Cricetulus griseus: one gene and its partner. The protein of the gene in region 2 interacts with the protein of the main gene of each other region in a pairwise test. Links are inferred from orthologs where the notes say so. Each region holds a gene or a part of one and is shown on either strand. Other genes may lie near its edges. The genes, in order: Ubxn1 and Plaa.

What was found.
Region 1: the proteins of Plaa (region 2) and Ubxn1 interact in binary tests that used the Homo sapiens proteins (3 or more experiments, as listed by UniProt). The two-hybrid records come from large-scale screens. The link is inferred for Cricetulus griseus from reciprocal best matches to the Homo sapiens genes PLAA and UBXN1.

The regions. Positions count from the first base shown.
Region 1 is NC_048596.1:51,222,705-51,227,255, forward strand, and holds the start of Ubxn1 (UBX domain-containing protein 1), read right to left. Parts: upstream 2,877-4,551; 5' UTR 2,802-2,876; intron 2,718-2,801; 5' UTR 2,691-2,717; coding exon 2,632-2,690; intron 2,521-2,631; coding exon 2,467-2,520; intron 2,379-2,466; coding exon 2,272-2,378; intron 2,170-2,271; coding exon 2,100-2,169; intron 1,356-2,099; coding exon 1,164-1,355; intron 1,076-1,163; coding exon 1,024-1,075; intron 672-1,023; coding exon 555-671; intron 1-554.
Region 2 is NC_048595.1:54,235,571-54,239,383, reverse strand, and holds part of Plaa (phospholipase A-2-activating protein), read right to left. Parts: intron 1,838-3,813; coding exon 1,668-1,837; intron 1,254-1,667; coding exon 1,096-1,253; intron 169-1,095; coding exon 1-168. UniProt on the Homo sapiens protein: Plays a role in protein ubiquitination, sorting and degradation through its association with VCP. Involved in ubiquitin-mediated membrane proteins trafficking to late endosomes in an ESCRT-dependent manner, and hence plays a role in synaptic vesicle recycling.

The DNA of each region.
Region 1 (4,551 bases), on a different chromosome or scaffold from region 2:
GGCCAGGTAATGGCAATACTTATAATCACAGCATACAGAAGAAATAGGAAGGAGGACCTCCAGAAGTTTGAGGTCAGCTTCATCTTCATAGTGAACTCCAGGACAGTAGGGCTGTACAGCAAGACTCAGTCCCAAAAGTAAAAGAAAGTCTGGAATGGTGGCATATGCCACTAATTCCAGCACTCAGGCAGAAGCAGGGTATCTCTGCTTCAATAGGTGATGAAAAGGACTCCAAGCTACCTCACAATCAAGAAAAGATAAGATGGAACTATTTTTAAAAAACAGAATAGGTGCTGTATTATGAAAACAGCTGTGTAATGAGTCTAATGAAAACATTGTGAATAAATTAAAGGGTAACTGCTGAGTAAGAATGACGTATGTATTTAAATAAGACAAGCAGGTGAAATTCAATCACTCCTAAGAGTAGAGGAGATAGGATTTCAAAAGTCATGTACAAAGAAGGAAGAGATTTGGCAAATGGAACTTAAGTTGGGCTGGGCACCTTACAGGCCAACACCCAGTTCTAGGAGCAAGACAGTGCCCAGAAAACATACCTGTATGCGACACTGGTCATACTCCCGCTTGGTAGGGGGCTCCTGGCTGGGAGAAGAAGGAACAGGACCTGGATCTGTTGCTGGTGGGGATGACTGAGAACCCACACTACTACCATACTGGAAGACAAAAATAAAACGCTAGCTGAGTGGTAGCATACTAGTCTGGCATGCATATATATATATATATATATATATATATATATATATATATATATATATATATATTTCAACCTTCAGCACACAGACAAAACAAAACAAACCCACCCAGCTTCAGTGGCTCACACCTTTTATTTCCAGCACTTGGAAGGCTGAGGCAGGAAAACAACCAGAAGTCTGAGACCAGTCTGGGCTACAGAGTAAAACTGTGTCTCAAACACACAAATCATGCAAGCACATGCTATCTCTTGAGAATGGAAGAGGAAATGAACCCTCCTACACCATTACACCCACAGGCTTTCTCATCACCCACCTTCTTGGCTCTCTCTGCTTTGTCCCTTTCAATTTTTTCTCGGACCCTTTGTCTGGAATGCAGACAGGAAGAAAAGAGGTCAGAGATGGACAAGGGAAAAGATTTCCTTCTCAACGACCAACAACCGTCAACACCCAGACCTGGCAGCTAATTCTTCAGCCTTTTCTCTCCTGCGCTCCTCAGCAGCACGGCGCATCTCGTCTTCCTGTAGTTTCTGCCTTACGGCTGACAGCTCTTGCCCTTGTCTCCTCCGCTGCTTTTCTCGTTCCAAAGCTTCTCGCTCCTCTCTTTCTTCACGTTCCCGCTGCTTCTGGGCCACAAGCTCCAACATTCTGTTTTACAGAGAAGAAAGAGCTCAAATTGGATATGGAGTGGGAAGTTGAGTTTAAACAGAGAAATCTTAACAAAATAAGGGAACATGTGTTCCAAGACAGATGAAAGGAAACAAAACCAAAACAGGAATAAAAATAAGGGGGGGGGGGGCTAGGAGCTTAGCTCAGTGGTGAAGCACATACTTGGCACGCAGTGCCTTATAGTTAAAAAGGCGGGGAGGGGCAAACGAGAGCTAGATATAGTGGTGCACACCTATAATGCCAGCACTGCAAGGCAGAGGCAAGAGAATCAGCATTTCAAGGTAATCTGAAGTCACACAGGGAGTTTGAGACCAGCCTAAGCTACATCAGACTGTTTATGTTTCTTGGTGGCTGTCTTTTGTTAGTTCGGTTTTTTTTTTTTCCAGAACCTGGAAGGGTCGGGTTCTCTGATCAGACTTGTGTTTGCATTGGAGAGGAAGGAAGATGGCCCTATGACCCTTTGGAAAGTGAGTCTATAGGCTAGATATGATGGCCCACCTGTAACCCCAGCACTCAGAAGAATGTGGCTTTGAACTTGGCCTGGGATAAATACTGGATTCCAGGCCAGCCTGAAGTACACAGTTAGAACCTATCTCACAAAACAACACAGGACCTAGCGGTGAAAGCCTTTAATCCCGGCAATGAATCAGTTCTGCCTGGGCCAGAGAGGCAGGCGGGCACCAAACAAAACACACACACACAGTCAAATTGCCGGTTACCTACCTCTTAGTCTGTTCTTGCCTCTCCTCTTCAGTCAAAATGGGTTTGCTTTCTTCAGCAGCAGACCCAGATCCTACAAACAAGCAACCAGTATTATTATTTGTAACAAAAATCATTCTGTTTCCTCAGGCCCTCACAAGACGTCTAGAATCACAAGATGTCTCCCAGTCAGGACCTTCAGGGCCAACTTGCTCTGAGGACGTGGGTTCCCGTCCCAGGATATGGCCGAGGGGAGTCTCTAGAGGCTCGTCCACATCGGGGTCGTCTTCGTGCTCCATAAGCCTGGGCAGGGAAAGTGGGCAGGGGGTTAGCCTGGCGGCCGCCCTTCGCAGCGGCCCCCAAACCTCCGCCACGGGGGCCGGTCGCTCACCAGTCCATCGCAGCCTCGATGCCCTGGTTCCCTGTGAGGGCCAGAGCCTTCTCCCTGGGGGCAGAAACACGGAGAGTAGCGCCCACCAGCCATGGTGACAGTCGGGCCGGGCCGGGCCAGGCCCGCGGCCCCCCACCACGGGCCCCTGGGGGGAGGCTCCCTTACGCGCGTCCCCTGGGAAAGCCCATCTCGATGAGGCTCTCCAGAGCCGTCAGCTCCGCCATGGCGCCCGCCGCCGCTTCCGCGGGGACCTGCGGGGACGAGAAGGCAGGCGGCAAGGGTCAGCCCGGGCGACTCCGCCCGCGACGCCGCCCTCCCGGCGCTCGCTAACTCACCGGGTTGGGGACCCGGGGGCGGGGGTGGGGGACACTGACGGAGGAGTGCGGAGGGGAAGCGGAAGTGCACCGTCTGTTTGGGTCACGTGGGAGCGGGGTGGACGGGTGCCGGGAGGGCCACAACAGTTCCGCCTGGTGGGCGGGGACATCCGCCAACCGAAGCCGACTGGGAGACCCACCCACGAGGAGCTTCAGAGACTGAGAAGTGGGCTGGCTCGGCGGGTGAAAGCATCAGCCAACCTTGACTGTATCAGTCCGCCTCCCAGGACCCACGTGGTGGAGGCAGGAGGCAGGAGAAAAACAGATCTCTGCTAGTCGTCCTCTGACCTACACACGCATTCATGATAAACAATAAACAATGTATGCAATCAATTTTTTTCTCTATTTCTGTTTGCTGTTTTGTTTTTGTTTGTCGAGACAGGGTTTCCCTGCATAGCCTTAGCTATCCTGGAACTCTCTGTAGACTGAAGGGACTCTAGACAGCCCAAGCTAAAAACCGTTAGATTACATTCCTAAAGCTAGCCAACATGGTCTATTCCTTTATTTGGCTACTTCCTCCTCCTGAGGCTGACTATCAAGGTCCAGTTATCAAAAGTATTGGAGTCCATTAATCAAAAGCTCCTTGTGGCTGCCCTAATTAACATGCCCACTCAAAACAAACCAACTCATTCTAATACAGGGTTTCCCATTTTACCTTTATACACTGCTGTGACATCTGCCTCTTTTCTATCCAGAGGCAGTCCTTTGACCTCCCAAGTGCTGGGATTAAAGGGTTGTGCCACCACCTCCTGGCTTTTTTTTTTTTTCTGTTCTCCTTCCTTCCTTCCTTCCTTCCTTCCTTCCTTCCTTTCTTCCTTCCTTCCTTCCTGTCATTCTTTCTTTCCCTATGTCCTGGCCATGCTCACACTCAGACTCACAGAAATCTGTCTGCCTCTACTTCCCGAGTGTTCTGGGTTAACGGAGTGTGGTTCCACACCTGGCAGTGATGTATGTAATTTAAAAAGAAGAAATTTTGGGGGTGAAGAGATGGCTCAGTGGTTAAGGACACTGACTGTCCTTCCAGGGGACCTGGGTTCAATTCCCAGAACCCACATGGCAGCTCACAACTGTCTGTAACTCCAAGATCTGACACCCTCACACAGACATACATGCAGGTGAAAGACCCCAACTTAAGCCTAGCCTGATACCCACCAGCATGTATTTGGAAATCACTCTGTACCCCCCCCACACACACACACAGCTCTGGGACAAAAAACACATGAAATGGTCGGTCATGATGACCAGTCTCTGGAAATTGTTATTATTACTAGTTTCTATTATCTTCAACAACTGTCTGGTTTCTAAAAATTGTTATGGGTTACCCTGCTCCAGAGCACCCAAGTTTTGAAAATAAGTATAAGTCACTCTGTTCCCAGAAAAACCACTAGCCGTCCCATAGCCTTGCAGGTGTAAAAACCAAAATAACATTCCAAACCCCTCGTGGGCAAAATTGTAAGTTCAGTTCCCAACCAATTAGTAAATGACTCATGTATGTTATAGCCAATCAATATGTTGTCATACTCCTGCCTAATGACCAAAAAGACATAAAAACTGCCTGCTTTGGAAACTCGGGGCCATTCTCTTCCCAGGGAGTGACCCCAATGCGTTGGAATAAAATCCTTTTGCTTTTGCATCGAGCCTGTGTCCTGTGACTCTGTGGGGTGTGTCTCCCAGAGTTGGACTTCACTTTTGGGTCCAACACAGGCAAAAC
Region 2 (3,813 bases):
TGTGTTATCAATAATAAATTTAGCCACCTGATCCAAAAACATGGGATTCAAATCATTCTTCTGCAAGAAGTTGTATGCAGCTAGCCAGGGATCCTCACTGACATTATATGGTAATTTATATGATGGTCCACCTTCATTGACATCAATTGAAAAAACATAATCAAATTCCTATAATGAAAACAGAAAACAAGATAGATAATTTAACTGTTCAAATACATTAAAACATATAAAATAACACAGATGTTATGTGTTTTTATTCTAACCATTTAGACTTTAAAACTTTCTCCAAAATGCAATGGTAAAGGCTTTCTATTTGGCAGAGAAGGAGCCAAAGTGTGCATTTGTTACAAAATTAGTGTTTCATTAGTAGTTGGGAAGGCGATGGCTGAGATGAGGACCTGATTATAACTACTTATTAATTCTAGGTTCAAAAGAAGGTTCCCAAATGGTTGATCTCAAGGTCAAAATTTTTAGCTTTTAGGGTGTCCTACTAACCAAGACATACTGGCACATAAGCACAGCCCTACAGTGTCCCTCATGTCTTGCCAAGTTTAACAGAGACAGGCATGAAGCATGAGATAAAAGAAACTCCTAATCCAAACTGACTGGAAACATTTTTGTAAGAGAAAGTCTAAAGATAAATAATGGCTAATTTGTTATATACAGCTTTCTCTACACATAAAAATTTTATATAGATACATATTTAAAATATTCATATATATATTTATTTTATTTTATTTTATTTTTTTAAAGATTTATTTATTATGTATACAGTGTTCTACCTGTAGGACAGAAGAGGGCACCAGATCTCACTATAGATGGTTGTGAGCCACCATGTGGTTGCTAGGAATTGAACTCAGGACCTCTGTAAGAGCAGTCAGCGCTCTCAACCTCTGAGACATCTCTCCAGCCATATCTATCTATCTATCTATCTATCTATCTATCTATCTATCTATCTATCTATCTGTATATATTAAATCTACTTTAAGACAGAAGATAATTTTCTTACAATAATGTACTTCTAAATGTCAAAATACCAGAGAAAACTAAGTTTCTGTATAGTTTAAAATAATAATTAGAAAGCAGTAGACATACTTTCCCTTCATATAAAACTTTTCCAGATGTTTGCTGATTAGCACCAGATGAGCCAACAACATCTCCAATTTTTATCCACCTCCCGTCACTAACACTCCACTGATAGGCTTCAACTCTCTCTCCATCTCGGATTAGACGAGTCTGTCCTTCTCTAGTACCTTAAAACAAACATTTTAAGAATCAAAGACTGACTAGCAGAGTAAAATCCAAAAGCACTTACGACAAATTTTAACGTATTTTTTGTGGATGCTTCCAAGTTCAAATAGTAAAATGTGCAAAAAGAACATGGCTTCTCTTATCAGTTATGTGTGACAGTAAAAACCCTCAAGTCTCAGTATCTGGCATTGAGAACAAAAGAAACATTAACAAAACATTTTCCCTTATTACTCTTGGTATTCCAAATGGCAAGTGTGGTTCCCCTGAGACAGGGTTTCTCTGTGTCACCTTGGCTGTCCTGGAACTCACTCTGTAGGCCAGGCCAGCCTTAAACTCACAGAAATCTGCCTGCCTCTGCCTTCCAGATTAAAGGCGTGCACCACCACCACCTGAACTACAATTACTCTAATAGTTACCTGGTTCATTCAGATGTTCCCTCCCAGGAAGCTGCTCAGCATTAATGTCCCCTAAGTCACCAGTTTTGGAATCGATAGTTGCCTGAGAGAGCTCTCTCTCAAAAGCCTTGATTTCCTCGACACTTGCTGTCCGATCCTGCGACTCTGTAAACACTCTAATGATACCATCACTACAAGAAAAGCAAACTAGTTTAAGTCACTGATCCATTTATTAACATTCCCTCTTGTAAATAAAGCAAACATTATCTGTATGCACAAATATGAAAAACATCACTGCTTATTGTGAAGAAGTATGCTGACTATAACATACAGTATTATTTCCGCTATTTAAAGAAATTTCTGGCAAAGGAGACATACATTTAAATACAATTTTTAATTTTTTTAAAAAAATGCCAGTGACTGAACCCACCAGAACCTTGTTTCTATTAGGCTGGTGTTCTACCACTGAGGCAGGTATTTGTACATAGCCAAGGCCAACCTTGAATGTGTGATTTTCCCAACAAAAACAAAACTAAACAACAACAACACACACACACCAAAATAACAAAAAACAAACAGCCCCCCCCCAAAAGGGTTACTGGGACAGTTAACTTTAAAAATGCTCAAAGACCCAGCCTAGGCTTATCATATAGCAGGTGTTCAATATACTCAAATAATCTCAAAGAAAAATTCAGCTCCATGATTGGCTAAATAGTAGTACTCAACCTATATATTCTCAAGAACATATTCTAGTCTTATGACTGCATTTTTTCAATTTGAATAAAGTGGGAAAGTCACATTGTCTAGTTTAAACTGTATTAATTCAATTGAATTCTATAGAATACTTTATTTCTATAAATATAGAAATAGTAGAAAGTATAGAAAATAGTAGTATTTTCTACTGATGTCAATTTCACTTTCTTGGCAAATTTTCCTTTGACTGTTACCAAGCTTCATGAACTATTATTATATCTACATCAACAAATGAATCCCTGCCCCAACCCAAAATAAGAGGTCTACTAAATCCTCTGCACTCAGAGCTGCCATCTTTTTCTAGCTCTCACTGTCTAGTCACAGTCTTTTCCTTTATCAAGTATCCCTTCATTTCCTTTACTTTTTTGCCCTATAATTTTCTTCTAAAATGTAACAGCAACTACAGGTAGTACCATCTTTCAAAATGAATCCAAATGCTTTTCTACCTTTCTGTTCTTCAACCTCTTACGAACTTAGGACACTGATGCTAAGCTCCCTCCAAAACCTCTTCCTTTTCCCTGGATTCTGACATCTGGAATCCTGTGTGCTTTTTAACCTACTGACCTTCCCATATCCAGAGTACTTCACAGGATTCACTGTTAGTCTTCTGTCCCTCCTCTATATTTCCTCACTCAGGGACAGTTTTGTATATATATTTTAGGCCCAGTACTTACAATAGAATTCAATCTGGCTACTTAGGACCTACCTGCAGTGTGGCAAGGCATTACTCAGATTCAACAAGCCTTAAACCAAAGTATTACCTTTTTGTTTTGTTTTTTGAGACAGGGTTTCTCTGTGGCTTTGGAGGCTGTCCTGGAATTAGCTCTCGTAGACCAGGCTAGTCTCAAACTCACAGAAATCTGCCTGCCTCTGCCTCCCGAGGGCTGGGATTAAAGGCAAGTATTCTTTATGAACTAAATTAATTCTCACATTTTTCTATTTTTATTAATGGGGATTACCACACACTATACTTTTGAAGCTTTATGCTTTTCCTCTGAATTTTCTCATGAATGAATTCATTAGTACTGTCAGTGTTTTATAACCACATACTCCTAGTACAATTCATTTCTAGTTTGCTTTCCTTTCCGTAATTCATAAATTCCACTTAAATCTGATCATGTCTTGCTCTAGAGATACAATCTTTTAACCCTAAGCACTAAAAGGACCAAGTTTGAATTTTAGCCACAGGTAAGCCCCATCATACCTACCATTCGTGCTATACCTCCAACCTCAATCCTCCAATATTTCCCTCATCTCCTAAACACAGAATATTCATTCCATAAATGAAATTGTGTCGCTTCTTTCGTCAGACATTCTAATTTCTTTTCTTATTCCACTTACAAAATCCAATTTAACTTCTCTAGGAAGTTTTCCAATACAGATCTCTAGTTTGTCTAACTTCTTTGGCTTTTGG